Danio rerio: one gene and its partners. Each later gene encodes a partner of the first gene's protein in a complex. Links are inferred from orthologs where the notes say so. Each region holds a gene or a part of one and is shown in the gene's direction. Other genes may lie near its edges.

Region 1 (10,887 bases):
CTAAGCACTGGTGATGGTATAGCATTTATGAAAAAACTAGTGGACAGATCAAATTATAAAACATCTCAAATGTTGTATTGGTCATTCTAAAATCCTTAGCCAAAGTCAGTCATCAATGTGGTTTGGTATTATTATCTTCAGTGCTTAATTTGAGCCGGATCTTGCTGGATCCTGTTCCAGGCAAATTCAGATATGTGTTTTGCGTTACAGTGTTTATTTCCATTGATCCGGCATTAACTTTTGGGTGGTGAATACCTGCATGTGTGTGTGAGAGAGAGAGAAAGAATGTGACTGAGTCTGAGGCCCCATTTACACTAGCGCATTTTAGTTTTAAAACAGCGTTTTAAAATAAAAACGATCCAAGTCCACACTAGCGTTTCACCCAGCGTTTCTGAACAGCTCTCCGTCCACACCAAAACGCTGAAAACGCACATCACGTGACCACACACACACTATCAGGCAAGCGGTGCAGCCTATCTACCCAGATGAGAGCTCTGCTCGTCGGACTGCTCATCAAGCATCTCTCGCTGGATCTAATCTCACTATATTTATTGAACGTGATATTTCATTCATCTTGTTGTCTATGTCTAACAACATATTCCCAGACTTTGGTCATTGGAATCTATTACCTGTTCTCAGATAACGCGTTTTGGCTAAGCGCAAAGATAGGTTGATAATTAATGTACCCACATAGCCTACATTCTGTATATTGACTGATCGCTTGCCTTTATTTCCTATAATGTATAAACTTATTGTATGTTATACTTTTATAATGGCCATTATCGATTATTAAAACTGATATTCAGCAAAAGAAAGGGTATGTTTCGTATTTTCAATGAAAATGAAAGGAGGCAGTTGTTATTGGCTCTGTCTTGTTATAAATATCCACACAGTGAAGATGATGCTCATAAATGCAGCACGACGCCTCAACATTTCTGCTGTCTGTTAAGTTGCTAATATCAAAATGAAAATAGGCAGTTCCTTAAATCATGTTTTCATTTTATTGTTGAGAAAGTAAAACAACGTAGCCAGGGTGATGTGTATGAGTTATTTTCGCTTGGCACATAATAATGAAATGACCTGAATGCCAGTGATGTTCATGAACTGAATCGTGGTGTTTTATACAATTTATGTTTGTAGCTGCATGTTTTTTTTTTTTTTTTTTTTTAATGGTTGACCCATAACATTATATGGCACATAATAGTTATAGACCGTTTAGAAATGTTATGCTTTTTTCACTATAACTGCTTGGTAACGTCGTGTTGTGGGAAAACTGAAATTGTTTGGCGGATGTTAGTCACGGTAATTTTTATTTCCTGGTTTTGTTCGGGGAATCATTCATTTACAAATTAAGCACTGATTATCTTTCAGATGTTTCTTGAGCATCTGCACTCATTTAGTCACCTCCAAAAGCCACCATTCATTGCATTTCTGAGGCAACTAATTTATTATGTAAGAAAAAAGGCCCACAGCGGTGTCTCCTGCCACAGCAAATTTAGTTTTTCTGTTTGGTGTTTGGCGTAATTTATCAGGAAGTGACTATCATCATCTCTTTAACTCATCACAAATGTTTTATTCGATATTCCAGTTTTGTGCTTTAGTTTGATTCGCTACTTTGGCTTTTACACCTAAAGTGCAGAAGCAGGTTTACAACCAATGCTATGTAGTTACTGCTGTGGAAAAACCAGTGTCAAACAATGCAGTGTTTCAATATTATTGGTTGGATGCTTAGCAGTTGACAGACAAACGTGTACCTCACATTATCTATGTTTCCACTGTTGGGATTAAGGCCAGCTTTTTACTGTCAACTTCATAGTATAGTCTATAACAGTGGTTTAAAAAGTAGGGGTTGGGACAATGAAGACGGAGCTTGTTAATTTCCAAAAATCAAATTAGTTATATTAAACCATTAGAATTACCATATTTTATCAATAAGATACTGAAGATAAAATAGTAGTTTATACTATAAAGTTACTATAGTAGCTTATAGTTACTAGTTCAATTGGATTAGGACTCCTGGGGTGATTACATTATATTAAAGACACAGCAATAGCATCAGATACGTCAATAGCATCTTTCTGGCACTTTACAGCACTCGCATACATTAAAAAAAATTTAACGAAGTATAGACATGGGTCAATTGGTGTGTGTGTGTGTGCGCACCTTTGCATGCAAGGTTTCTGTATTTATACCCACCTCAGAGGATATTGGGGGTCGCGAGTCACTGGCATTGTTATTTTGGGAGTCGCGGGCTAAAATGTTTGTGAAACCCTGGTCTACAATGTATAACATGAAAAACAACAGTGCTCAATAAAGTATGTAGACAAGTCACATGCTGCATTCATCCAATTGCGACAGCAAGCTCTGCAAATAATTAGAATAACCCAGGAGATTACAGTGTGACACATCAGAATACCCAGGATTGAATATTATATCGAAGTATTTATACGTTGATGTTTGAATATGTTCAAGTCTGCGTCAGTCAGAATTTGCTATGACTTTTATTTCAGTATGTTGATGTACTTCCTACTGATGTTGATGTACCTTCAAATTGATGTCATCAGAGAAGGACCACCACTCCAAACGCAGAAGCAAATAGTCAGACTTTGATTGAAGATTACTAAAACTAACTTTTTTTCCAGTGTATTAACTTGCACAGATTAATTATTCACCAAACAAATAACAATGTTCACTAGTAAAACATTGCTCAACATTGTAAATCATGATTTCAAAGTGACTTTTTAACAAGAAAACTTGGGCTTATAGAGTGACCTAAGGTTTACTTTTTCAAGTGTGGATATTTCCTCTCTGATAATAATAATTAATATTCTCGATTTCTGTTTTGTCCTTGTAGTGCTGACAGCAAAAAACACACAGGAAATAATAAGCACAGATGCTGCTTGTGTCCAAACTGAAGCTAAAAGCATTGAGAAGCCACATGTGTGCACTGAAGAGGTCTCAACATTGCTGCCCAGCTCTGATTCAAAAGAGGACACTCAGCCTGATGAGGAAGACATTGAGGTAGATGTAGAAGGGTCTGTTGGCTCTCCTTTAGGGCTTTTGGCAGCTAGACAGATCGTCAGATTGACCATTGAGAGTCCACTGGACCTAGAGGATGAGTCAGAGGATGATGAAGAAGAGGAGGAGGTGGATGTCACCGGAGAGGAGACTGATTGAATTTTTTATGTTCATGTTACAATTTATTAACCTTAATAATTGTTGTCAATAGCAGATGTTTGAGCAAAGTTCTCAAAGCCCCGAGTTGATTATATCAAATGGTGAGAAGAATCATTTTTGTCAGTTTGTTGTCAAGAGATTAAGCCTATCAATTTGTTTTCCGTTGTCTCGTACATGTGTAAAGTTACATATTAAAAGTATGTAATTAAAATAAATTTACATTATATATAAGTTCATATTCACTTGAATGTGTGGTAATTATTTGAGATACTACCGTAGATGTTCAAGAAGAAGATTAATATTGGCATTAACAAAAATAGCTTTAATTTTAAACGAATGTTTTTGTTTTATAACTGAGTTGATAAACTGACAATAAATAGCTGTACGTGTGTGTATTTAAGAAAGGTTTTTAGTCTAAAAATTCTGTCAATTTTAGTCGTATTTAAAACAATAACTATATAATACGTTAAGAAAGAATTTTGTTGGTCTGACTTCTTCTTAAAAAGGTTATAATAGGTCCTCTTTAAGAAAGATGTAAAATAAGTCGCTTATATCTCTAAAGCATGTATGTGTAGTTTCAGCTGGAAACACCCCACAAATAATGTTTTATAACTCTTTGAAACTGCTCCTTTTAGACTTTGACCCTAAGTGTGAATTTTTGTGACTGTCACTTTAAATTCAAATGAGGTCTTTTCAAAAGAGGGCGGAGCTACAAATGCCTGTGTGTCAGCATAGTGGCAGATCCAAAAAAAAGAAAAGGCTGCGTCCGAAACCGCATACTTCCATACTGTATATTACGCTTAAATCGGTATGCGAGCCAAATGGATGTCTGAATTCATAGAATACGAAAATAAGTATGCGAGAAGTACCCTGATGACCTACTGCAGGGGTGTCCAACCTCGGTAGTCCTGGAGAGTTTAGCTCCAACTTGCTTCAACAGCTGTCAGGAAGTTTCTTGTATATGTGGTTAGAGCTTAATTAGCTGGTTCAGGTGTGGTTGATTAGGGTTGAATGTAAACTCTCCAGGACACTGGGCCTCCAGAACCAAGTGTGGACACCCCTGACCTACTACTTCTATAGAGAGTTGTGCATCCCATGCATGGTGCGCTGTCCCATGGTGCCCCGCGAGAGAATTCATGAATGGGATTGAAGCGACACAACTGAAGTTGCAACCTGATTAAGGCTGCATTTACTTAATGTAATGTCCATGTTGTGATTTATGCATGTGATGTTTACAACAGTTTTATATTAGCTTGTATTGGTTACGTCGTGGATAGTGTGTGCTCTCTCGTTAACATGCTTATAGACTTGTGCTACATGACAATATCAAAGCTTTTTTAGTCCTCGTGTTTGAGATTTAAGTTTTTGGACTTGTGAATTGCAAGGTCCAGGAACAGATTGGGGTTACAAATCCGGCATGTTACCCTAGGATGTAGAGGTGTCGCGCACTAAAGTTTTAAGGGGGGTTGGTCGTCATGGATAAAAGTGAAAGAAGAGCCAGGGGTAGGGGGGTCGCGGAAGAAAGTGAAAGTGAACAGCGGACGGGGAGGAGGGTGGTAGAGGAGGGGGATTGGTAAAATGAGATGCCAGGCATAAATAATGTTCCGGCATAAATAATGCCCTGGGCTGCGTCCGAAACCACCTACTATTCAGTAGGTACTGCATTTGAATTTAAACGTACTACTCGGTCGTTAGTAAAGTACGTTCTATACAGTATGAATGTAAAAAATAATAAATCAATTCGGACGTACTACATCTGCCATTTTGTCATAATCACATGACCTTCCTGTGTCGGTTGCGTCGCTTTACTTCCATTCATGAATTCTCTTGCGAGGCATTTTGGGATAGCGCAGTGTGCATGGGATGCGTCATCCGGGTACTTCTCGCATACTGATTTTCGAATTCTATGAATTCGGACATACCACTCGGCTCGCATACTGATTTTAGCGTACTGTATTATATGGAAGTATGCTGTTTTGGACGCAGCCCTGGTGTTCCCCTCTAATGGCATGTACAAAGGGGGATGTCAATCGAATTCTTTCTGCAGACGTTATTGTATGGAATTTGTACTATTATAATAATGCTTTTTGTTTTTCTTAATCGTTACTTTTTATAAACTGTTTTTGTTAAATGTTAGAAAACTGTTAGGGGGAAAAAGAGGATTCCAGCACTACTTATTTATTGATATATATATATATATATATATATATATATATATATATATATATATATATATATATATATATACCATAAAATATACATTACACTTTTGAGCTTTCTTTCTCCTAGGTTTTTTCACAATATGAAATTATAATCAGTCAATAAATGTAAGCGTTATTGTATTTTATATCCGAGAAAAAGCAGCTCCTCCGTTCAGTTGCGTCTGTTTACAGCGCACCGATGACCGGTTTAAGATGGCGGCTGCGTTGACGTATCGGAGCAGCGGACCGGACCGACCACGAGGCGTCTCACTTTTCAATAGAAAACTTTATTGTCAGCGGATGTAGCAATTACAACGCTGGATGGAAAGGAGGATCCACGTGGGTTGTTTCTCCGGTCAAGCACACAGACACTGAAGGTTAAAGCAGGCTGTCGGGGCTCTTTGTTGAACGGGATCCGCGCGCAGACCGGTGGGTTTTTGTCGAGGGGGAACCGAAAGGACGTTTGCAGAAATGGACCCAATGAAAGCGCAGCAGCTCGCCGCAGAGCTGGAGGTGGAGATGATGGCTGACATGTACAACCGGTATGCAGATTTTATTCATATGCAACAAAAATTATTTGTGTGACATTACTTGCATTATTGATGCAGACATCAGATATGCTATTGTGCAGTAGTTTGTGTAGCTATTTGTTTTTTACGATTAGTTGTAGTATAACGTTATTATGTGTATTAAGACACCAGGCCTTGATCAAGATCGCATAATTTGACATTTTAGGGCAGAATTCAGTAAATCTATATAATCCTTGATGTTTGCTGCAATAACCTGTATCATCAGATTACGAGCATTGCTATTGCAGTGACAGGTCCATGCATTCAAGTCCTGCACATCTTGAACCGTCAGGTTCATTTTTTTGTCCTCTGTCACTTTGAGAAAGTTAAGTTTGAGTGTTTAATTAAAATGTATGCGCTGATCCAATGTACAAGTCAACATTTGTGTATAAATACACAATTATTAGTTATTAGTATGCTTTATATTAGATTGGTGTATTAAAATGTTATATAAAAATGCCTGTGACATTGACATTGGTATATCCTTGTGAAGAGCTTTTTAAGTGAAAAAAAGACTAATTGAGTGTTTTATGTAATGTTCGGTTGTTATGAAGTTAAATATTTGCCATTCCTATGCATTTATTCCTACTATGTAAAAGTCTAGAGTTAATAATTGTATGTGGTTGGGCTGGATAATCACCTACTCAATTTGATGGATATTTCTCTTATTATTTGTTGAAAATTACTAGTTACATAATGTCAATATTACAAGTTACATTTTGTTATAGATGCTATAAATATAAAGGTATAGTTGTTGGTACTATAATATGGGACATTCTACCAGAAAAGTACATTTTCACTTATAAAAAATGTGATAAGACCTGACCTTTAAGCTTTTCTTTCTCAAAAACAAAAAAAACAAAACAAAAAAATCATGCAAAAACAAGCATGAAATCATACAATTCATTGATAGAATGCATCTTTGATCACTGTCAGCTTCTTCATCAAACGAGTCATAGCCTTAAAGGTGTATTGCATGCATTTTATTTTAAGTTTAATATAAATGTAACAGGACTGACAGAAACATGGGGGCAATTGTAAAATAGTATTTCTTTGTTGAATTTATTTATAGTTTCATGTTTTAATCAGTTAGTGTGAATGCTAATAACTTAAACTTGCTATTTTAAAAGTTTTTTCCCCCTAAATAACAGTTTATAGCATAACAAAAGTATTAACACTGTAGGTTCAGTTGGGCTGAGGACAAGGATGACAGGGTTTATACAGTGTAAAATGTTTTTAATAAAGAGCAAAAATCTAAGAACCAAATGAATGACATATTCCTTTACAGAACAACTCACAGAAATCAACCATCGGTTCAGTTTAGAAAGTTTTTGGGATGAAATCCTTTTATATTCACTATTTGTTTTTATTTCAAGGACGAATGATGTACATCTCAGGTAGAATGTCCCATATAAATTATATTTATATTGATATTATACAAATATTTAAAATTTTCTATGGATTCCTTGAACCATGAAAAAATGGTGGTAAAAAATAATGTATTGAATTATTTCTGAGGAGAGAGAAAAAAAGTGTTTGGAAGAGCAAAAAGGTAGGCCAAAACAACTCTAATAATATTATATTATTATAATAAAAATATCCAAACTCAATAATATATTATTAATTATAAAGATTATGTTATCATAAAGAAATGTACTGAAATTGACAGTACAGCTTGTTGATGAATGTTATACATTCAAGATATTAATTGTAAATCGACTGACTTCTCCAGATCACATATTTTTGCTGCTATAATTTAGCAACAGTCTTGAAGGGTCCTGCAAATCTATTGTGGAAACGAAAATAGTTACACAAAGTCTCTTCTCTAGTGCACTTCACAAAAGTGTGCTTACTCCATTTCATCATCCTAGCAGTTTTTATGATCATAAATTTGGGAGAGCAAAATATTTCAACACAACCCTACAATACAATTGATGCAATTTGTCTAACCTTAACCAGATGGAAAACCACAGATTTGGCAACCCTGTTGTCAGGTGTTTCTTCAGATAGTATTAATGCCTAATACAATTTTACTCCTTGATTGTCAATAGTTTAGCCCTACTGTTGTAGTCTCTATAAAATAACGGATTGAGTTAATGGACGTTATTAGTGCTTAAATCCGTTGTTCAGCTGTTCCAAAACTGTTTTTCCCATTCATGTTATTTATTAAAATGTTAGAAATGATCATTGGTAAAGAATTATAAGCCATGAACCAAACCAAACAGCTGCAAGGAGAATCTGAATGTGTATCAAAAGTAAAATACATGAAAATTTGACAAAAGTCAAGTAATTTGGTAAGAGCTACAACATCATGAAGTACTGTGAACCCAATTTCTAAAAAAAAACATCAGATAAATGTATATCTTTTATTTAAAACTGAATGGCTCTCTATATAGAAACAATATATCTGACATATTTTGTTTCTTCATGGAAGCGTGTGGAGCTAAATATCAATAATGTGTGCTTTCCTCGCTGGAGCTTTGTGATTGGTGGAAAGTCTGTACAGCATCATGGAAAATGTAGTTTCCCTGCACCGATTCAGCATATAAACATTCATTCATTATTATTAACCTATATTAATCTGGGGTCATCACAGCGGAATGAACCGCCAACTTATCTAGCACATGTTTTATACAGTGGATGCCCTTCCAGCCGCAACCCATTTGTGGGAAACATCCATACACACCCATTCACATACATACACTGGACAATTTAGCCTACTTGATTCCCTTGTACTGCATGTCTTTAGACTTGTGGGGGAAACCGGAGCACCCGGAGGAAACCCACACAAACACAGGGAGAACATGCAAACTCCACACAGAAACGCCAACTGACCCAGCTGGGGCTCGAAGTCGAACCATTGACCTTTGGCGATTGTGCCATCCACTGTGCTGCCTGCTTATGAACATAACAGTTTTGAAGATGAGTGAATGTGAACAGATGGGTTCAACCAAAGCATATAATCTCATCTCCGCTCTTCTTTCTCCTTATGCAGGATGACCAACGCGTGTCACAGGAAATGTGTTCCCCCTCATTATAAGGAAGCGGAGCTCTCGAAGGGGGAAGCTGTCTGTCTGGACCGCTGTGTGGCCAAATACTTGGACTTGCATGAGAGACTCGGCCGAAAACTCACAGAGCTCTCGGTTCAGGATGAGGAGGTGATGAGGAAAGCTGCTGCTGGAACTGGATAATCTTATATAAACTCCAAGGGTGGGGGATCAAGTCCTTGGATGATGGGGTTTATGGGAGAAGTGGGCACAATTTGGACATCCAAACAGGGAAATCTGACAGGATTGCCCATGGATATATACCTTCTAAAGTGAATATGAACACATATTGACTTTCTGTTAGATATGCCATGTGAGGGGTTAAGCGTTTTGGAGGAGATGATTGGATGTTTTACCTCAGAAGTTGATGAGTGTGTTGGCTTTAGCAGTTATTGACAGGAATAAGATGTCTTGTTGAAGAAATTTGAGAATTGATATCCTTGTGAAATTGTTGGTAACTTTTTATGTTGGCTCTGTTCATTGTTATTTCTGTCGTTTTACTAAATCTTTCTTTATTGGTCAACAAAATAAAAATGTTTACCATTTTGTCATGTTCTTGAATATTTTTAAATCGTTTTTGCAGACATAGAAAAGCAAGGAACAGACAGACAAACCATCATATAACAATAATCTGTGCTTAATGTAAAATAAAGCATGAAACAAGGGAAAATAATGACATATTAGACATATATCACCTACAAAAATACACAGCAATGGATGCAAAAATCTTGCAAATGGATTACAAATCTTCAGAAATTACACAACAATATTAATCTTTATGGTGTTTTAGAGTCTGGATTCCACATTTTATCAAATTTCGCAGAGTTCTTAGAAGTCCAAGAAGCCCAGTCTGAAAAAAGAGGCCTGGCATTTTTCTTCCAGAAACCAAGGTTAACTTTTTTTTTTTTTTTAGCTATCATGCCATTCTGAACAGGTAACCGTACATTTAGGTTAAGTCTCCAGAAAATCTGAGCTGCCAAACATTGCCATCATTGGGTCAGGGAGTAAAGCACAATCGCAAACCTTAATAAGGTACTGAAATATTTCTAACCAAAAAAAATCTGAATTTGAACACAGGACCAAAAAAGATGTGCTCAGCAGCTTTACACTTGTCACATGTGGGGGAAACTGAGGGATAGAATTTACTAAGCTTGGTTTTATAATAGTGTAGTCTACGTAATACGGTGTACTGAATAAGGCTGTCTAGAATTTATAAATCGTGAATAAACGGGTAACATTGTCATTTTCTGATTCTTTATTCAAAGCAATGTTCTGAAATCACTACTAAAAAAACTGCTTAAACCAGTGGCTGGTCAACCAGGCTGGCTTTAGAGGCGTTTTAGCCACTTTCAAGCAGGTTTCCAGCCATTTCCAGCCTGGTCTTAGCTGGTCAGGCTGGTTTTAGCAGGTTATTTTCCAGCCTGACCAGCTAAGACCAGGCTGGAAATGTATGGAAACCTGCTTGAAAGTGGCCAAACCCCTCTAAAACCAGGCTAGTCAACCAGCTAAAACCAGCCATGCAGCTTAGGCTGGTTTAAGCCGTTTTTTTTCAGCTGGGTATTATACTCTGAAAGTAATTTATAAAGTTGTGTCAGGATGATTAATCAATGTATTTTTAGTTATTTAAAGTATCAGTTTCACTGGGTCTTTTAGAGGACATGCGTCACTATTGTCTTCTTTAAGCACCACATATTTAACTAATCTCAGTTCCAACAAAATATTTCCTGTTTTTTTTAAAGTTTGACAGACCTCACTGTAAATGGAAGATTCTTCATGTTAAAAAGGAATGCTTGGCACATTGGAAGAACATTTGGTTTTAATTGTTACTGGTTCAAAGTCTTACATTTTAAGCTTTGTCATGGATGAATGTTAAAATCAACCATGTGTAGAAAC
Region 2 (9,873 bases), on another chromosome or scaffold:
CGAAAGGACAAAATCTCAGATACAAGCGGCCAAAATGAGTTTCCTTTGAAGGGTGGCAGGGTGCACTCCCATGGATAGGGTGAGGAGCTCTGACACCCAGGAGGAGCTCGGAGTAGAGCTGCTGCTCCTCCACATCAAGAGAAGTCAGCTGAGGTGGCTCAGGCATCTGTTTCTGATGCCTCCTGGACGCCTACCTAAGGAAGTGCTCCCGGCAGGCCCCACCGTGAGGAGGCCTCAGGAAAGACCCAGGACACACTGGAGGGACTATGTCTCTCGGCTGGCCTTGGAACACTTCGTGATTCCCCCAGAGGAGCTGGAGGAAGTGTCTGGGGAGAGGGAAGACTGCTGCTCCCGCGGTAGAAAAATGAATGAATCAAGAAAACTCAGATGACTCTTACTTACCATTTTCATCTAATAATTAATTATATATATATATAAAAAAACAATAATTTAAAAACCATTTCTCGAAATTTGCTTTTGTGAACAATACTTTGGTTGTTCAAATGAAGCCAGAATGTGGTTTTAGAATATGCACGGTTATGAATGAATTATGCATTGCTATACCGTAAAAAAAAAAGATAAGTAAAGCTAAAAAAGCCACCAAAGACGAATTAAAATGGCAGCAAAACATACAACAAAATAAAATAATGAAGTAAATCATCAAAATACATGGGCAAACACACAATTCCAGCAGATTTCTACCTTGTGCAATAATACATTTGGGGAACATTTACAACATACCTAGTTATTTTCATCAAAATGTGCAGTATAGACAGAACAAATAATATATATTATCTGTACATTGGATATGTGTTTATAATTTATATGGTACAGATTTATAATATATGTAGTAATATAATATAAAGTGACATGTAGTAAAATAAATAATAATGATAATAATGATAATAATGATAATAATGGTAATAATAATAATAATAATAATAATAATAATAATAATAATAATAATAATAATAATAGCTATAAAATACACATCCAATCAATTTTACGGATTTTAAATATACGATTTTACAATTTAAATCGAGAGGGCTCAACAATAAACTTAACATTTAAATAAATAAATAAATCGAGAGGGCTCTTATTTGTTGCGAAAGTGCCGCTGTGAAGCAGCTGATAATTTCAGTCAGTGGTGTTCTCACATGTCCTTCACAGTCTGAGCTCTTACATCAAAGGTAGCAGCTTTAATACTTTCACATGCTTTACTTATTTATACGGTTTTTCCCGTCAAAATCTTATTTATCGTAACGCGAATATTAATGCATTCAATTTGAGAGGCATTTCTGCACGGTCGCTGTGATAAATGTACATGATGCTAAAGGCTAATGTAGCCACTCACCTCTCACTGCTCTGAGGCCTTTATTACTAAAGATTCTGCATTTATTTTAGGAGATTCTGCACTGTTTGACAACAGAAAGATTTATGTTAATTGTTTATTCGTCTGTTTTAAAGCATCGTAACGATGGCAGCTCAGGTCACTGAATCAGATCAGATCAAACAGGTAAGAGAAAACACACACACACACACACACACACACACACACACACACACACACACACATGCATATTTATTGAATGTATATAGTTTTGAATTTGAGTTGTTTATTGTATTTTGTAGTTTAAGGAATTCCTGGGAACCTACAATAAACTGACAGAGAACTGCTTCATGGATTGTGTGAAAGATTTCACCACAAGAGAGGTCAAGCCAGAGGAGGTATGTGATTTTATGAAGAATTCAAATGTTTAAACTTTAAATGGCATCAAAATTACCTTTAATCAGTAAAACTTACCCTGCGTCTTCAACAATATCTCTGTAAGCAAGTATTTTTGTTTCTATGGTACAATCCTGGTTCACCACAAACTTCTTGAAATTAAATGACAATAAAACTAAACTTTTACTTATAGGTACACGATCCACTTTAAATAAATCCCATAGTTTTTCCATTTCCACAGAGGATTCTGTCATTACCCCCTCCCTTCAGGTTAAGAGTCTGGGGGTCATCTTCGACAGCACCCTTTCATTCACTGCACATGTTAATAATGTCACCCGGTCCGCCTATTTCCACCTTCGAAATATAAATCGTTTACGTCCTTCCCTCACACCTCACTCAGCTGCCATTCTTGTTCATAGTTTAGTCACATCCCGTTTAGATTACTGTAATTCCCTTCTGTTTGGCCTCCCTTAAAAAAACTCTTCATAAATTACAACTGGTACAAAACGCTGCAGCCCGTATTATCACATAAACCCCCTCTGTCGGTTACATCACACCCATTCTACAACAGCTTCACATCTCTTACAGAATTAATTATAAAATACTTCTTCTCACCTTTAAAAAGCCATCCACAATCTCGCTCCTCCATACCTTGCTAATCTTGTTCATATCGCCACACCTTCTCGAACACTCAGGTCTTCTTCCATTCACCTCACTGTTCCCTCTGTCCGCCTTGTCACCATGGGGAGCAGATCCTTCAGCCACTCTGCTCCTCAGCTTTGGAATTCACTTCCTCCTGTTCTCCGTAATGTAGACTCTTTCACAATTTAAGTCCAGACTCAAAACACATCTGTTTAGAACAGCCTATTCTCTTTGACCCGATTGCATTGTTTTGTATAGTATTCTATTGTTTTTGTGTTTTTATTTGAATTGATTGTTTTACCTGTCCTGTACGGTGACCTTGAGTGTCATGAAAGGCGCCTTTAAATAAAATGCATTATTATTATTTGAAGTCATACATTAAAAGGTTAAACAGTAATAGAAAGAAAAATTAAGACTAAATCAAGTTTAATTGAGTGTTTTTGCAGCTTTTTAAACGTGTCCATGTGTAGACCATTTCAATGTGGTCATGTCATTGGCCCATAAACATTTCCTGCTTGTTGTCAAACTATTTCATAACTGAACAGAGGCAATTCAATCATAGCGTAATGTTAAAACAGCTATTATAACATTATTTGTCAATATTTGTCTCTTTTTAGATTCCTGGAAGCTACAGAAATTAAAAATGTAAAACAGGAAATACGTTGGGACCGTTGTTTTTGTTTACAACCCTCAAAATGGTTTATGATTTAAATGCTAAAACCATTTTGAACAAATCTTTAGGCTTTTTTTTTAATTTCTTACTTGTATACCAAAGATAATACTTAAACTATTTATTGCACAAGAGGCAGCAAGTGTAATGAGTTTTGGACCCTGTGAAACACCACAGCTCTGAGATGCTATTCTCGAGGCATAATTTTGAATGGTGGCTGTGAAAGACCTGTCTGATATGCAAGATGACTCCAAAAATATTTCACTGGTGTGAAGAGGAGATCATTTTGCTTCTTTGTATTACCATTTTACCTTATGGCCACAGCCCAAGACTGGTTACTCACTGAAGCCAAGCAGGGCTGAGCCTGGTCAGTACCTGGATGAGAGACCAAATGGGAAAACTGAGTTGCTGTTGGAAGTGGTGTTAGAGAGACCATCAGGGGGCGCTCAGCCTGTGGTTTGTGTGAGTCCTAATGCCCCAGTATAGTAAATTGGATGCACTATACCACAGGTGTCAAACTCAGTTCCAAAAGGGCCGCAGTTCTGCACAGTTTAGTTCCAACCCTAATTAAACACACCTGATCAAACTAATTGAGTCCTTCAGGCTTGTTTGAAACCTACAGGTAAGTGTGTTGGAGCAGGGTTGGAACTAAACTGTGCAGGGCTTCGGCCCTCCAGGAATTGAGTTTGACACCCCTGCACTATACTGTTAGTGAGCACCGTCTTTCAGATGAGACATTAAACTGAGGTACTGACTTTTTGTGGTCATTAAAAATCCCATGGCACTTCTCGTAATGGTCCCCGTTCTCGTGTAACCCTGGTGTCCTGGCCAAGTTCCCTCCATCGGCCCTTACTGATCATGGTCTCCCAATCGTCCCCATCCACCGAATTGGCTCTATCACTTTCTCTCCACTCCGCCAATAGCTGGTGTGTGGTGAGCACACTGGCACCGTTGTCCTGTGGCTGCCGTCGTATCATCCAAGAGGATGCAACACTGGTGGTGGAGTGTAGAGACTACCCCCCTTATGATTGTGAAGCACTTTGGGTGTATGACCATACACAATAAATGCGCTCTATAAATACACATTACATCTAATCAATTCCTGAGGATAAAATCAAGTCAGTTTTTTTCTTGTCTAACAAGCTGTTTCCACCACAGGAGTGTGAGCTTTAATCCCATTCTGAGACAAAGTCAGAATCAAGTTATTTAAATTTAGAATTGTGGGATTTAAACTTATGAGAATAACATCAGATTTTTTGACCTCCATATTGAAAGATAAGAATTCACTAATTTGCCTTTTTTTTCTCTAATAATTCAGAGGAATAAAAAATGAATTTATATTTGTTAAAATAACAAATAACTATAATATTAAAATGACAAAATAACAGTTATCAGGGTAAAATTCTGTTTCATTAAATATTTAGATTTAAACTTTTTCCTCACAGTTGTTATTATAGTTCAGGGGTCACCAATCTCAGTCCTGTAGGGCCGGTGTCTCTGCTGGTTTAGCTCCAACTTGCCTCAACACACCTGCCTGGATGTTTCAAGTATACCTAACAAGACCTTGATTAGCTTGTTCAGGTGTGTTTGATTAGGGTTGGAGCTAAAATCTGCAGGACACCGGCCCTCCAGGAACAAGTTTGGTGACCACTGCGTTTAGTTGATTAATGACGGTGACACTTTAGCAAGCTTGTATCTCACAGTTTTTGGTAAAACCTCAAGGTTTTACCCCCAAAATCGTCCTTCCACAATACCTGGTTGATCTGAGATTTCAAGATATATCTCAGATCTATATGTTTATCATAAAGTCTGTGTTAAAAATAACTATACATGTCAAAACATTAATAATATATAAATACAAGTTTGGATTTGTTAATTGGCAAGAGAAAAATATTTACAATTTAATTATTATAACAAACATTTTTTGCAATGTTTTTTGTGTCATGTCACCATAAATAAAAAAATAAAAACACTTATTCATTATATGTAAAGCTACATCTTAATTTTAAGTATCAACATTCTTCTAGACCACATGTTCTGAGAGCTGCTTGCAGAAGTACCTGAAGATGACACAGAGGATCTCCATGCGCTTCCAGGAATATCACATCCAGCAGAACGAAGCGTTGGCCGCCAAAGCCGGATTATTAGCACAACCACGATAACAGACTGCTGCTGGACTGAACTCCAGACCATTACGCCAGGCTCTCTGTATTTCCAGCACAGAGCAGGAGTCTCCAAACGGGCCCTCAGAGGTTCAGGACTGCAGATAATACCGGGAGAAGTCCTCTACTGTCTGCCTGCAGATATCTGGACTGATGGGATTTTTGGTTTCCCCCAAATGGAAAGACATTCCTCATTTTCGGGACATTAAGCAGGTCGGCCACATAACATGAAAGATCTTGATTGTTTTTATGTTAGCATGCTACAAAAATAAAATGTTATGAACATCTCATTCCCGAGTAAATTTATTAATAATATATACAAGTATAGGTTGATCAAGAAACAAAAAAAAAATCTGATATTTTCAATTCAATGACAAAAACAATAATTTAAATAAATAACTATATAAAAATTATAGCTATATTTTGTAGTTGAAGTGAAAATATCTACAATCATGCAAATACTTTAAGTTAATTCCTGTAATTATGTATACATGGATTTACATTCACTGGCCACTTTATTAGGTATACCTGTCCAACTGCTCGTTAATGCAAATTTCTAATCAGCCAATCATATGGCAGAAACTCAATGCATTTAGGCATGTAGACATGGTCAAGACGATCTACTGCAGTTCAAATAGAGCATCAGAATGGGGAAGAAAGGTGACTTAAGTGACTTTGAATATGGGATGGTTGTTGGTGTCAGACGGACTGGTCTGAGTATTTCAGAAACTGCTGATCAACTGGGATTTTCACACACAACCATCTCTAGAGTTTACAGAGAATGGTTAGAAAAAGAAGATATCCAGCTGGCGGCAGTCCTGTGGGGGCAAATGCCTTGTTGATGCCAGAGGAGAATGGCCAGATTGGTTTGAGCTGATAGAAAGGTCACCGCTAACTGTTGGCTACTTCCAGCAGGATAACGCACCATTTCATAAAGCTCAAATCATCTCAGACTGGTTTCTTAAACATGACAATGAGTTCACTGTACTCAAATGGCCTCCACAGTCACCAGAACTCAATTCAAGAACACTTTTGGGATGTGGTGAAATGGGAGATTTGCATCAAGCATGTGCAGCCGACAAGTCTGCAGCAACTGCATGATGCTATCATGTCAATATGGACCACAATCTCTGAGAAAAAAATTCCAGTACCTTGTTGAATCGGTCACGAAGGATTAAGGCAGTTCTGAAGGCAAAAAGGGGTCCAAATAATTTCTCTGTATATTTTAATTGGATCATTATTGTGATATCCAACAATTATTGTGAGAAGTGCCATACAAAAAAGCCTGAATTGAATGGATCAACCAGTTAATAGAGAAAAGATCTGAATAACTTCTTAATATTTCACAACTTTATTAGAAATGAGAAGACCTCTTCTTATTTTACATAAAAGTACAATGGCTTTGCTTAGGAACCTAATGCCTTCATTCCTTCATCCAGGAATCTGTAAATAAACTGAAGTCACAGGGAAGCAAGTTCATCGCAGTGAATGAATCGATGCCTACAGCATAAAATGTTCAACATAGTCATCATGGGTCACTCTAGACAGCTTGGGTTTAGGTTCCTAAATGGTTGATTATATACAGAAGTCTAAAGATGTGCTAGTGCTCCTAACAACTGGACATAGAAAAGGAGAAATTAATTAATATACAAAGATGTACGCTTTAAAAAATAATATAAATCCTTTTTACAGTTTGTGTAAAATGTATTTTTCAAATACATGGTTTTTTTGAAAGCTCTATTTACAAAAGGAACAATCAGTAAGAAACCCCTGGGCTTAACGTAGTTGAGAGAAGCAACTCATTTATTTAATTGGTCAAGAATGAAAATAAGAATTCGAAAGTACCAGGTAATAACTGGGAGAGAGAGGGAGAAAAAAAAGGAGCATGTCACCAATTTCTGGTGTTCCCTCAAAGTAGCTTTGGGCCCAAACGAACAAAAAAGAAAGTGGGGAGGATTCGGTTTACTGCACAGTAGTTACCCAAATTGTGACGTCACATTCAGAGAGTTTCAAGACAACCCCACAAATTTGACCCCCCCCCCCCCCCCCCCCCCCCCCCAAGCGAACCGAACGCGGGACAACTGCGATTCTCATCTTGTAAAAAATACAAAAATGCCGCCCGCCGACTGAATAAATATATTTAACAAGTTGCAAGATAATACCTTTTATTTTACACACACAAAAAAAAAATTCAGCGCTAGAAATCTTTCATTAAATAACTTCACGGCTGCGATATAATATTTCGAAATTTTCCATACTAAAAATAAAAACTCTGCGATTACATATAAAAAGACAAAATGCACTTGCAAAGGAAATTAGTCCACTGAAAACAGTTTCATCTCGAGTTCCACTGTAAACATTTCCGCTTTATTTATTACGTTTTTTTCTTTTTATTAAAAACGAGAGACGACAAAAATAGGATTTGCATAATTCTCTGTGCTCGCATACTAAGATAGAAGTGGAAGACGCCGGCTGCAGTTTTCAGTAAACTACATTCCCTTTTGCAACTGACTTTGTCCTGCTTTTCCAAAATAGGGCACTCTGCTGTAACACGTTTTACTTTGGCAGTTCTGATGGAACAAGCGCGCTACAATTGACCTTTCATTGAATAACCATGTCCAGCTGGTTAAGGTGACCATTACCTAGGGATGTGACTGGAGGATTGACTACTGCATCCAAACTCCGGTCTGAAGCAGTAAGAGGAGGTTGCCTGGTCTGTTCAGCGTTTGTGAAGTGAAAAGTGCCGTCGTGTTGCTCTGGATGGATCAATCGTAAGCTTTGATATCATCGATTTACATTCAAGCCCCGCGTGGAGTCCGTTTTCCCGTTTGGTGGAGGCAGGATCAGGTCTGAAAGTGCAGAAGGTGGAGGCGGTGGGCAGTCGAGTGCTGCTGTCAGCGGGACTCTGGGAAGGCGGAGGTGGAGCGGATGCCGCCTGACATCACCTGCACTCCACGGCCACAGTGTTCTGCGTGGGCGAAGCTGAAGACGGACTCATGCCCGTGTCCGAGGAGCCTGATGAGGTGGACGCTGTGGTATGGGACACTGTGGAACAGTAGAGGTCAAAAGGTCAGTAATGCACAGAAGACAATAAATAGAGAAACTAATGATGTAACCATTTCCCAACCCTGTTTCTGGAGGCACACCAACAGTACATGTTTTGGATGTCTCCCTTATCTGACCCATTTATTTGAGGTTTTGTAGTCTCTTCTAGTATTCTGATGAGTTGATTTGAGAAAGAGGTTACAAAAATATGTACTGTTAGTGTGCCTTTAGGAACAGGGTTGGGAAACACTGGTGTAACTAATCTCACTATGGTTTGAGTCACATATCAGACTGTTATAACGATCAGCAAAGATCAGTGATGTGCAAAGGACAACAAATGGAGAAACTAGTGGTGTAACGTAGTGTTTCCCAACCTGGTTCCTGGAGGCACACCAACCAACAATACATGTTTTGGATGTCTCCCTGATCTGACCCATTAATTTGAGGCTTTACAGTCCCTCCTAATGTTCTGATGAGTTGGTTCAGATGTGTTTGATTAGAAAGAGGTTAAAAATGTGTACTGTTGATGTGCCTTCAGGAACAGGGTTGGGAAACATTGGTGTAACGCATTGTTTCTTAACCACATTCCAGGAAGACCACCAGCTCTGCACTTTTTCCATGTCTTCGTAACCGAACACACCTAATTCAGATCATCAGCTCATTAGCAGAGACTGAAAGACCTGTAATAGGTGTGACAGACAAAGGAAACATCCAAAACATGCAGTGCTGGTGGTCCTTCATGAACATGGTTGAGAAACACTGGTGTGACGGATCACAAATCTCACAGTTCGAATCACACAGCGGTTTGTGTCAGTTACTCAGATCAGCAAAAAAGGGAGCAGACAAATGTCTTGAGCTTTCCATGAATTACAAAAAAGTACTGCAAGAAACTTTAGATTCTAACAGAACTTAAATTAAAAATTAAATTAAATAAAAATCAAGAAATAATTATTTTTTCTACTGTTGCTGATAATGCAAAAGATCTTGTACAAATCTTATCTTGTACAAATTTATTTTTAGTCTCATTTTCAATTGATTCAATAATTCACACATAAAACTTCATGTTTCATTACTAGATTTTTGAAAATCTGTTCAGTGGCATTTTTTAAAAAGTTTGTCACCACCTATTGGCTAAATTATGTAATTGCTACAACATTCAACAGCGTCAAGTTGCCTTAAAGGTGATTTTAATCTTTACCATAAACATCAGTGTTAATATCTAGACTATAGGCTGTTCTCCCAGTACATCTGGGTTATTTGATTGTTTGAAACTAACTGAAAAGTGTTAAAAGTGAACCTCAAATGATGAATACATGTATGCAAATCATCATTTATAATCTTGGATTAATCGGCAAGTTAAAAAAAATAAAAGTTATTAGTATGTGAATTGTGCATTTCAAACCGTAGGGCGTGATCCATTAGACCCCCAGAAGAAACCCAAATATTAAATGTTTACTAAATTTAAGTATTTATTTGTATTGTTTTTTTTTTTAAACATTTGTCAAACCTGATAAACAGAAAAAAGCATGAAAGGACATGAGATAATTGTTGAAGCCATGTTTTAAAATATTACTTGAGTTTTGATTTGTTGTTCAATTTGTTGGTTGTAAACATCAAGGCATGGCAAA
Region 3 (11,373 bases), on another chromosome or scaffold:
AAATGATTTTCCTGAAAATAAAATGTTATTCCACAGGTCTTTGGTCACTTTTGATCGGGAAGGGCACAAGTGTGATTCTGACTTCTAGGTAACCAGAGGGTTTAAAAAGTATAATAAAATTACTGAGCCCAAACATTAGAATGGCAAGCAGAGCAAGTTTTTTCTATCAAAACATTTTAAATGAAATGTGAGAAGTACAATCTATCAACTCATACCAGGATAACAGGAATTTACTCAAAGACAAGTAAAAATGACTGTTCTGTTTATCAGCCAAGGTGTATCAGGCCTGAAAAATTCCTCTAAAGAGTTTCTCTCACCTTACAGCCGACAGCCAGCAGTGCGTGAAGTGCCACGATAACAGCCACAGTGGCGAAAGCCGTTAGTTTAGTATCATCACGAACCGCCGGCCAGAACGTGATCACCAACACCGAACCAGAGATCACCATTGCAACCACAATCAACAACCACTGGAGCCAGTTGAAAGGAATAGTCCATAATACCTAAAAACAAATGGAGCATCACTTACCGCGTCTAAAATCAACAAGGCTGATTGTTTGTGTGCTTTTGAAGATTTTCCCAATCTTACCGAGGTAGGAATGTAAATGAACAAAGAGTAGCCGTAGACACAGACTGTCTCTAAAAATGTGTATCCGTTGATCTGTCTCTCGACACTTTGACGCCACGTGAGGAAGCCCCAAACTCCTAGTGGCACCAGCCATGCATAGAGGAACACCGTGACTGCTGCAATGGAGACTACAAGAAGAAGAGTTCAGATTAAAAGCAGATCTTGACTTTCACATTCACTGACTGGCAGGCTGTTTGTATAATGTGTAGTTAAAGAGGAAATAAGATTTTCTAAAAGATTTTTTTTAAATGTAAAAATAAATGATCATAAACATGTTTAATGTTCACTGACTTCAACATCTTTGTAATTTACAGGTGGATTTCCCTCCCAAGAGGTAAGCAAAACTCTTTATTGTCCAGCCCAAAACAATTGTACAATATAGAAGATAAGAATAATCCTCGGAATATGCATGTTTTCATGAAAGGGTGTTTTGGGTGTGTGTACAAAGGTAGTTTGAAAATTCAATTTTCTCTACAAATTCTAACAATTCACATACACAGCGCAGTTTTACCTTTTAAACATTCATTCATTTTCTTTTCATCTTAGTCCCTTTATTAATCAGGTGTTGCCACAGCGGAATGAACCACCAACTTATCCATCATGTTTTACACAGCAGATGCCCTTCCAGCCACAACACCTATATACTCTCATTCACACACACACACACTCATAAACTATGGTCATTCAATTCACCTACAGTGCAAGTCTTTTGACTGTAGGAGAAACCAGAGAAACCTGGAGGAAACCCATGTAAACATGGGGAGAACATGCAAACTCCACACAAAAATCCACAGAAAAACTGACCCAGCCAAGGCTCGAACCAGCAAACATCTTTCTGTGAGGCTATCGTGCTACCCATGAAGCCCCTTTTAAAAATGTATGACTTTAAAAACAAACATCCTTTCATAACCTTTTATCTATGATATTTTTACATATAGTGGGTTAATTCTGAACTCAACCAGTGTTTTGTTTTTTAATAAAAGAAAGAAAACAAAAAAAGAAAGCCAAAATATTACATATTTACTATGAGTAATTTACTTTTGAGGTCAAAATAGAAATTTTCACCAGTAGTTTTTATAAATTAGACAATATATTTTACACATAAATTCATGAATTGTCATTTGGTTCACATGTAAATATTTATCCCAGCCTACAAAATAATGGAATATTTAATTTGGGCTTTCAGTAGTTTTCATATTTATTGGAATATTGATGTGTATATATATATATATATATATATATATATATATATATATATATATATATATACTTTACTTTTTTACAAAATCAAATATTTTAGCAAAGAAGGATTTTTCAATGTATGAGTCTTTTAAAAATGCAATGGACAAAAATCTGTTTTTATTACACTGTTATCATGAACATAGCCTCATTTCCCATTCCTACAGGCATCTTACCTCTGTGAAATTGAGGTCTGTAGTGATACTCTGGATTTCCCATCTCACTCAAAAATGTGGAGAGGTTCCCGCTGATGGCCAGTGAGAACACTAGAGTCACACAGATCCAGAAAGGACCTGAAAAGAGAAAGGGAACAAAAAGTGTCAGTTGCTTAATAAACCACTAAAGCAAAAATACAGTGAAATATATATATATATATTTATATATAAACAAAAAATAATTATAATTTGGGCATGTTTTGAAGATTTGAGAAACATGGTCCATTACCATATAGATCAGGGTTGCTTCGTATATGATGTTTGATGAAATTCCTTCCTGGCAAAGGCATAACTGAGCCCTTTATCCTATCCAGCACCTACAATGATGAAAATAATATTATCTGTAATATACAAGACACAAGCTGTTGATGTACATAATTGAGTGTGACAGCTATGAGTAGGTACATGACAAAGAAATCAGGATTGCCCTTTAGATTGCTAGTAATCTGATCAAATATATATTAAGAAATTAGATTTTAAGAGGACAACATTATATTTTATAGTGCAGTTTTGTTTTTTTACCATTATTACTTGGTGGAAATACTAGTTAGCATATGAAGAGTTTATTAACAAAAACAGTTAACTCCACTTTTATTAAAATTCAGATATCACGTTTTATATATTGTGCATTGATGAGTACAGCTGCAAAAAAAAAAACATGATTTATGGAAATGACTAAAACTGTAGCTTTTTAATAGTTTTCAGAAATCATGTTTACTTTGAGTATTGATAAGTTATAAATACCCAAAAATGTCTAAAAACTGATTCTGTATTTGCAAATGATGTCTTCATATGTTTTTTCATTTTCTAGATTAGATAAAGTCTTGTTTTATTCTTCAGACGAAAACTACCTTGACAAGAATACATTTTAAATGATTTACAAAATTGTTGTTTTATTTATTCAGTGTTTCAAGTTTGTATATCAGGACTTATTTAGAAAAAGACATTAAAAAGAAGCACAGTGCATCTTTCTAATAGAAACCACGATGTTTTACTTGTTTTGTCAGCATAAAAAAAACTATTACACCTAAACGTAATGCATTTTGAAATTGTAACTATAATGAATAAACAATGTACCTAAATTACGGTCAATTACATTTGTACCATAATGAACACACTCAGATATTTACCACAGCTGAAGAGGTAAAAAAAAGAAACACACCTGCACTGTATCTACGTTGAAGAACGACTGATAGTATTCAAACGTCCAAAACCCACCAGTTTTCTTTTCCCCTCCAAGCAACTGTGGAGAATATTGCACAATGTGGAAAAACAACCAGTGAGTGACTAAATTAGCTGCTTGTGATATGTTGTGACCGTTTTGTTTGGCGTGTCACCTCTGAACTCTCCTGCTGATTCTCTTCATCGTCGGACAGGTCGAGTCTGACCTCTCCAGATGGGGCTGCTGCTGCTGCTGGGTTTGAGCTGGAGATGCTGAGGGTTGAGGCTCCAGGATTTGAGGACAGGAGATCTTCGGCTTCTTCAAACTCTGAACATGTGAAAAACAACAGACACAACTTAAAACAGATTAAAACAGAGACACCTGAACAGTAAGGTACATAACGTTACAGATGAACACAATCCTTACCTTGAAACTTTAAATCATCTGGACTAGCCATGACTGGAGATCATACGAATTCACTCTTCAAGGGAAAAACGACTGTAAATTACAAATAATTTAATCACACGACAGCTGTTACCACTGAAATCTGAACAGATTTAGACTTGACTCACTCACCTGGCTGATAATCCAGCAGTGTGTTTCCTGATGCTGCTATTATTCAGCTTGTGTCGAGCTAGCAAATACAAAAACAATCGTTTTGTCAGCTCGGCTGGTGTTTTGTAACACCCTTTGGCTAAGTGGGATCAATAATATCTGCAAACGATTCGATTACAGATAGAAATCATTTGATGCAGTTTTAATACACAAGGATTTAGCGTTATCGTCCCCATATTCCACGTCACCTGCAGGGTTCCGCTGCGTCAAAACACAATCACGTGACCGGAACAAAGCCGGAACTAAAATGTGTGTTGGCTACCTGAATGGGAATTGAAAACAACCTGAGCATAATATGATAAAATTACTATAAACTATTATTACTAGCTATAAAACATGGAATTGTGTTTTTCTTCTTAATGTGATTGAAATTATGCAAACTATTGTATTGTTTAATTAAACATACTTTATCTTTTCTATTCAGTGTTGTAGCGTTAGTATACTGTTATTAATGTGTATGTCTTAGTCCGTATGGACCTTCGATTGACATCTGTTATAACTGACAAAACGGGGCAAAATTTTGTTTGGTGGAATGGGGCAAGGAACTTTGTGTTTCCTCTCCGGAACAATAACATTTCACGTACCGTGTACTCGCCATTTTGGCTCAACAGTTTCACCATGCAGCACTATTACGTTTATCAAGATTTGGAAACTCTCGGCTGAAACCTCTTCCTGTGCACATTCACCGTGAACTCTGAACTTTCACACTTACTCGAGTTCATTTGCTAACATGGCCGCCTCGTGGCTGCTGAAGAGATGGTGCTCCACGGCAGCTAACGTTACAGTGACAGCCAAGGGCACACGGTGGGAAAGGCTAAGAAACGGTCGCGCAGGTAAGACTAAATGCTTATCATTTTCCCCATTTCTGGAATGAGTATTAAAGATAAGATTGATATTACCCTTAGCTACCCAGATACGCTAGTCCAGTGTAAGTTTCTTGTATTTATCTGATTTCTGGGTAATGTATACATGTTAACATTTACCTGCATAACCGCAGCAGCAACTTATGCAATAACTTTATTATAATTCATTCAGATTTACAGTATAGCATTAAGAATGTATTTCAGTTTGTAGTATTCCTAATTAAAATATAGCTCCATCCCTTAAAAAATGCAGAAGATACTTTGAAAAATGTTGCAATTGGAAGCCATTGATATTCTTAGATGGGGAAAATACCATAATAGTCAATCACAACTGTGTTTTCAGCATTATTCTAAATATCTAAAGAGACTAAGTAGGTTTAAAGAAAAAAAAACTGACTATATAAAGACGTAATTAAAATATCTGAGTGAACGTACTGTTTTAATTGTAATAAATGACTTTATATAAACTGAATTTTAGATTCGATTAAACTTTTAAACTATTGTCATTACACATGTACAAGTACAATGCAACGAAACGCAGTTTAGGTCTAGCCAGCAGTGAATGGTTTGTCTAAACTCTGTTAATCTCTCGGCTGTTTTCAGGTGTATGGTTCCGCAGTCTTTTAACTGACTATAAGGAGGCTTGTCGTGAGGCGGTGGTAGGGGCCCGTGATCGACCCCTCAAAGCTTCAGTCTACCTGGGTGTTCTGGGAGGAATGTACGCTTGCTGTTACACCAACCCTGATGATTCCTCCTTTGAGACCAGCCTGCTGGAAACCTCCAACCGCCTAGCTCTCCTGTCGCCATGGATACGCAGTGGCACCTCAGATGGACACATCCAGACCCTTGTGAAGCTGCGAAACGAGGGCAGGCTGCGCTATGCCAGTCTGGGCATCGCCTCTTTGACTTATTACGCAGACTACGATGCTGAGTCTAGCCTGTATGAAGCGCGATGCTCTGCCATCTCTGTGCCCTGGTCCGAGCTGCATAAGCGTGTGCTGGACGTGGGCTTTGCGGGACGCTGGTGGGTGCTTGATCATAAAATGAAGGACTTTGATATAAACGAGGAGGAGTTCAAACATCTTCCTCCCGCTCTGGTGGCAACAGTCCCACCATCACCACAAATAACTGAAAGAAACGAAAAGCTGCATGAGGACTCATGGAAAGCTGTTGTGATGGATGAGGAGAGCAGTGAGTTAGAGGGTGTACAGAAAGACATGGACACAGCTGATAAAGGAAAAGAAAGCATCAAAGCATAAATGTATTGATGGACGTGGTAAAATTAATGCTGTTTTTCATACAAGAAGGATCAACTGTTAACAAGGAATGTAGTAGGAGACATTCTTGTACTACTAAAGACGAGGAATGATGATTAGAATGTGTTTATGCAAGTAAAGAAACATTTTACCACTAAAGATATGCAGAAAAGTGTGACTTGCTGCCTACAAGTACATTAAAACAGCTGCAGTATATGCTGACATTGTGTTATGTGAATGGATTATTAGTACTACATCAGCTCAGCAAAAATATGAATGTCTTTTAAGTTGATTAATTCTCCGTCAGTGAAGGAAAACTCACACAATATTTAGGCAAAGGTATAATGTTGTGTGTATTTGTTTTGTTCAGAATTCTATTTAAAAAATTTTCCTAAAATATTGTTATTTAAAGGTTTTATTATTTTTTTTAAAATGGCATTTTCAGAAAACAAAGGGTAAACAAATGTGAAAAGTTGCTTTCTTAATTTTAAGCTGTGTTGTCTAAATTAGGCCGTACTCACACTAGGTACAGTTGCCTCGAACCGGGCCAAAGCACGCTTGTCCCCCCTCTTGTCTCCCCCGACGGCCTGCACTCACACTACAATCGGGCCTGGGCACACTTACGTCATCGATGCTGCGCTGTTCAGTGAGAAGCGCTGTCACTCAGCAGCACAGTGGAGATTTCTCTAGTTATATAGTTTCAGTCGTTTGTTATGCGTTGACATGCAGTCAAATATTTCGCCAAACAGTCCTTAGGGATGCGGTGACACGCAGTCAGATATTTCGCCGTACAGATCTGCCACTTTTGGCGCTCATAAACAATCACAAAGCTTTCATGCTGCAGGAATGAGGAGGTCTGCTGAAGGCGCGCAGCTGTCGTGCAGTGAGGGGTTTGGTCCTTAATAAACTGAGTTTGCGCTCATTAAACAGTAAGAATGATTAATAAATCCATATGAAACAGTCCCTTTAAAGTCACGTCTCGTTTTCAGTTTCGGGCTTAAACGTGTTTGGCACTCACACTGCAAACTTCTCGTGTCAAAACCCAAGTGAACCCCGCTCAGGCCCACCTCTTCCAACAGGGCCAGGGCCAGCCAAGTGAACCGTGCCTGAGCCCGATTCAGCGAACTCACACTTCTCAAATGATCCCGATACGGTTCGGATAGCATAGTCTGAGTAGGCCCTTACTTTGATCAATATATAAGACTAAAAACATTGCACCTTTTTTTTGCTATTTTATGCAATATATATATATTTATATATATATATATATATATATATATATATATATATATATATATATATATATATATATATATTTGGAAGAATTTAGTTTGGAAGATTTCATTAGTTTGTGGTATAAAACAAACAGCTTTTTTAAAATACATAACTTAAAACCATTAATTCAATGTGTATGTCTCTGTATTTAAGCATCCAAAAACAGAAATGTGTGCACATGTAGGATTCTCAATGGCAGGTGGCAGGTGCTCGATCAAAAACAAACACAGTGGCAAAAGGTCAAAGGAAAATTGAGACATTGCCACTTTAGCTCTTAAATTTTATTTTATTTTTTAAATTTAAAAATTGTTACATTTCAATTTTTTGAGAGCTAAAGAGGCAGTGTCTCGATATTTTTATTTATTTTTGGACCTTTTGCCACTATGTCTCTGGATTTACAATTTATATTCATTGTATAGTTATGTGATTAAATATAAATGTATATACATACATTTCAATAATTTAGACGTTTCTCTTCAGCAGAGAACGCAAAAATATTTACACAAATATATTAAGCAGTACAACCCTTTTTCAATGTTTTATAGTAATAAAATGTTTGTTAGGCATTAAAGTATTCAATTTAAAGGGTGAAAGGGTGACTGACCCCAGCTGGGTCAGTTGGCATTTCTATGTGAAACATGCACTAAATACTGAATCTAAAACACTAAAAACTGAACTACACTGTTCCAGTTTACTATGATCTTTATGTGAAGCTGCTTTGACACAATCTACATTGTAAAAGTGCTATACAAATAAAGGTGAATTGAACTGAATTGAATGTTCTCCCCATGTTGGCGTGGGTTTCCTCTGGGTGCTCCAGTTTCCCCCATAAGTCCAAAGACGTGCTAAAGCTGAATTGGGTAAGGGTACATCCAGTGTTATGGATGTGAAATTTGCATAAATTCGCATAAAAAAAAAAACAGAGAAAGTATACGTTAACATTATATTGAAGCAACAGTTTATATTTTCCAAAACAACTAACCACAGAGTTATGGGATCTGGAAAATATCAATCTGTGAACATGTTTTAGATTTTAAAATAAACATGCAACCAAAAGAAATGATGCTAATTAAAGGGATAAGTGTCGGCTCACAATAGAACAAAAATTATTGATTTTACTTGATTTGACATTTTTGCCTTTACAAGAAAAAAGCTTGTGTTATGGATGTGACAGATGTAATGTTGGTACTTGTGTGACTTTGGTAAATCAATTATAATAATTTGAAAACATTGACCGAGACATTTTTGAGTACTTTTTAAAGTAAATACTTGCTTCCACAAAAAACAAAGAAATTATTTTGCTATTTTTATGTAAACTTGCTTTTTTTTCATGGCATGGTTGACACTTGCATAAAATTGCTCGTAAGCTAAGTGAAGTTTATTCATAAACTAATTTTGAGACTCGTGTTTATGATTGACTGGAGCTGGTCCTGCATTAGCTAACGCATGATCCACCAATTAGATGATTCCTAAATCACTATAAAAAAACCAGAGCACCGTAGCATCTTCATCTTGAAGAATCCTCCCTTCCACCCCTTTTTCCTTGACAGGGCGGCCCGGGGGTTAGCACCGTTGCCTCACAGCAAGAATGTCACTGGTTCAAGTCTTAACCTGGCAAAGTTGACATTTCTGTGTGAAGTTTACATGTTCTTCCTGTGTTTGCGTGCGTTTCCCCTGGGCTCTCCGGTTTCCTCCCATAGACATGTTACATAGGTAAATTGACCAAATCAAATCGACACCACAGACGAGCGCTTCCTCAGCAATATATCTCGCCAAAGTAATTCTTAACCTGCATTCACCTGAAACAAGCAGGGAAGTTCTCGAGACCTACCTTAGCTCAAACTGCAAACAAGAGGGAGCCCTGGGCTCAAGGATCTCATGAGTTCTGGGCTCTCTTCTATTACTCGCTTTAAAATCAACCATCAGCTAAGTGTCAACTCTTGAAATTGTCCGTAGTGTATGTGTGTGAATGAGAGTGTATGGGTGTTTCCCAGTGATGGGTTGCAGCTGGAAGGGCATCCACTGCGTAAAACATATGCTGGATAAGTTGGTGGTTTATTCCACTGTTGCGACCCCTGATTAATAATGGGACTAAGCCCAAAACAAGAATGAATGAATAAAAACAGCCATTTGTAATTGTAACAATATTTCACAATATGACCACTGCGTTTTTAGGCAAATAAACTGCTGATTGACCATTCACTTTACTAACCAACAACATTTTTGCTGCCTTCCAAAAAAAAAAAGGAATTCATGTAAAAAAAAAAGAGAGTTGGCTTAATTATAGCCATTAATCCCATTACCTTTGACCTTCTATTGCAGTGGCTGACTTTGATTCATTTTCAAGGGAAATCCTCTTTTACATTAATCTCTTTACTCTTCCTCTCTCTGGCTTGTCTTCCCCCATTAGTCTTTCACTCGCTCCCCCCATGCAGTCCTTCCTAAGATGGTTGGTATTGATTCGCTGGCTCATGGAGCTGCATTCTGTGCTCTTTTTTTTCTGATTGGTATCTCAGCTCCTAAAGAAGATTGTTCATTCTGATGTGCGGCTCTCCTGCAATAAACCATACGAACGCTGCACTGACCCGTTCGCAACAAGCTAAACCAGATTATATTCTCAGCGATAGAGCTAATAATGAAAGTTAAGTCTACTAGTACGCACTTAATGATGAAAAGCACTTAAGATGCGCTAATGAAAGTGTGGGAGGCCCTTTCCAAGAGGTTTCTAATAGTCCGGGGTGTAACTCAACCTCGCTACAGTCAATGTTGAAATAATAATCTCATTAGTGTGCATTTACAAACTGCCTAACAGAAATATTGCGTGTCACTGGAGACGAGTATTAATGAGACCAGACCTTTAGGTGGCTTCAGGCAATCCTAACGACGGCCTTTTAACTTCTCCACTGTTATAAACTGTTGTATATTGAAATGGTCACTTAGCATTATCACGCTGCCGTTATCCAATCACTAAAGATTTTCAGCCGCCAGGAGGATGTTGCTGTAGCCTCGGGGCAGCGGTATCTGATGTGCCTCGATCCTCATAATGTACTGAAGCACTCTGTCTGTCCATCAGGGCGTCCACAGGGACCAAGACATTGGCTGATTGCTAAAATGGAGGAGCTTTTTCCTAACAGTGCAGCGCTCTCTGTGAGACACTCTCCGCTCAGACGCACCACCGCTGCGTCCCAGTGCTTTTAAAGTGCTGTCCCTGCCCTGTCTTATTGCCTTCAAGCTCACTGATCTGAGATAACTAGGCAGTGGGAAGCAATGGAGTGGAAGCCCACCATGTTTTTCAGGTAGTGTCGCTGCTGTCTTGTTTGCTTTTTTACTAGGCTGAATGATGAGGGAGATGGAAAACTGGTAGGCGACTCATTCATTTTTGCATTTGCTTTGTCTTTATATTTCATGGATCCTTGGCTCTTCGTTGTCTGAAGCTACTTTTAGTTTTTTCATAGCCATGTGATACTAAAATAGGAATATTTATATAATATTTATGGGATGGTACTGACAAAAACATAAGCCTGTTTTAATTAATTTGCCTTTGTGCTGTTCTAAACATGTAATGCTTCTTTCTTTTTTGGAGAATTAGAAGTTGTTGGTCGTTCTAAATGATTTTGGCCTTTCATAGTGCAAAACAGCACTGGAAGACTTTGTAAAAATGAGTTGAAGCAACTCTTGAATGCTTTTTAGAAATTTCACACTGTTAAAAATGAAAGTTCCAATGTTTTTTCTAGTGATGCTGAAGAATCATTTTTGCCTCCCTAAACGACTTTATAAAAACAGTTCTTCCAAGAGCCATCGTTTCTTTCTTAAGAAGCTCTTTCAACAATAAAGGGCCTATAAATAATTTGTGAAACACTTGGATGTTCAAAGTTCTTTATGAAATCACGGCTGCCAGTAAGAAGATCTACAGAATAAAGGCTTAGTTAGGACTGCATGTTCAATTCAGTAAAATCAGTAAAATTGAAGTTTAGATCAGTCTCTTTTATACTTGCTCATCTGGTATATTGTATGCTACAATAAAGCAAATTCTTTTAAAGGTAACTGAGGGCGTACTCACACTAGGTAGTTTCCTTGAACCGTGCCGAATCATGATTGTCCCCCCTCCCCTTTCCCACGATGG

The links.
Region 2: the proteins of timm10 (region 1) and timm9 are in contact, whole or in part, in a crystal structure (PDB 2BSK), measured with the Homo sapiens proteins. The link is inferred for Danio rerio from reciprocal best matches to the Homo sapiens genes TIMM10 and TIMM9. Residues at the interface, in NP_036588.1 of Homo sapiens: Glu16, Met17, Asp20, Met21, Arg24, Ala28, Cys29, Lys32, Cys50, Arg53, Cys54, Ser56, Lys57, Tyr58, Asp60, Ile61, His62, Arg64, Met65, Gly66, Lys68, Leu69, Leu72; in NP_001291414.1 of Homo sapiens: Lys15, Leu18, Gly19, Tyr21, Asn22, Lys23, Thr25, Glu26, Cys28, Phe29, Leu30, Val33, Asp35, Phe36, Thr37, Thr38, Arg39, Glu40, Val41, Glu45, Thr46, Glu50, Leu53, Leu57.
Region 3: the proteins of timm10 (region 1) and timm29 are in contact, whole or in part, in a cryo-EM structure (PDB 7CGP), measured with the Homo sapiens proteins. The link is inferred for Danio rerio from reciprocal best matches to the Homo sapiens genes TIMM10 and TIMM29. Residues at the interface, in NP_036588.1 of Homo sapiens: His30, Arg31, Lys32, Cys33, Pro35, Pro36, Leu43, Ser44, Lys45, Gly46, Glu47, Ser48, Val49, Arg53; in NP_612367.1 of Homo sapiens: Asp181, Asp183, Ile184, Asp186, Phe189, Leu192, Leu196, Arg197, Val199, Gln203, Leu204, Ser206, Asn209, Glu210, Leu212, Phe213, Asp214.

The regions. Positions count from the first base shown.
Region 1 is NC_133176.1:47,643,274-47,654,160, forward strand, and holds timm10 (mitochondrial import inner membrane translocase subunit Tim10), read left to right. Parts: upstream 1-5,670; 5' UTR 5,671-5,849; coding exon 5,850-5,920; intron 5,921-8,942; coding exon 8,943-9,138; 3' UTR 9,139-10,237; downstream 10,238-10,887. Other genes in the region: uncharacterized protein, read left to right, coding at 2,855-3,177.
Region 2 is NC_133192.1:12,568,951-12,578,823, forward strand, and holds timm9 (mitochondrial import inner membrane translocase subunit Tim9), read left to right. Parts: upstream 1-1,101; 5' UTR 1,102-1,190; intron 1,191-1,467; 5' UTR 1,468-1,477; coding exon 1,478-1,516; intron 1,517-1,632; coding exon 1,633-1,728; exon of another isoform or gene 1,729-1,919; intron 1,920-3,699; exon of another isoform or gene 3,700-5,065; coding exon 5,066-5,200; 3' UTR 5,201-5,490; downstream 5,491-9,873. Other genes in the region: arid4a (AT-rich interactive domain-containing protein 4A), read right to left, coding at 8,142-8,245. UniProt on the Homo sapiens protein: Mitochondrial intermembrane chaperone that participates in the import and insertion of multi-pass transmembrane proteins into the mitochondrial inner membrane.
Region 3 is NC_133178.1:33,029,937-33,041,309, forward strand, and holds timm29 (mitochondrial import inner membrane translocase subunit Tim29), read left to right. Parts: upstream 1-4,576; 5' UTR 4,577-4,586; coding exon 4,587-4,689; intron 4,690-5,322; coding exon 5,323-5,978; 3' UTR 5,979-6,197; downstream 6,198-11,373. Other genes in the region: protein YIPF2, read right to left, coding at 318-500, 587-753, 2,041-2,157, 2,309-2,396, 3,242-3,322, 3,417-3,568, 3,668-3,698. UniProt on the Homo sapiens protein: Component of the TIM22 complex, a complex that mediates the import and insertion of multi-pass transmembrane proteins into the mitochondrial inner membrane.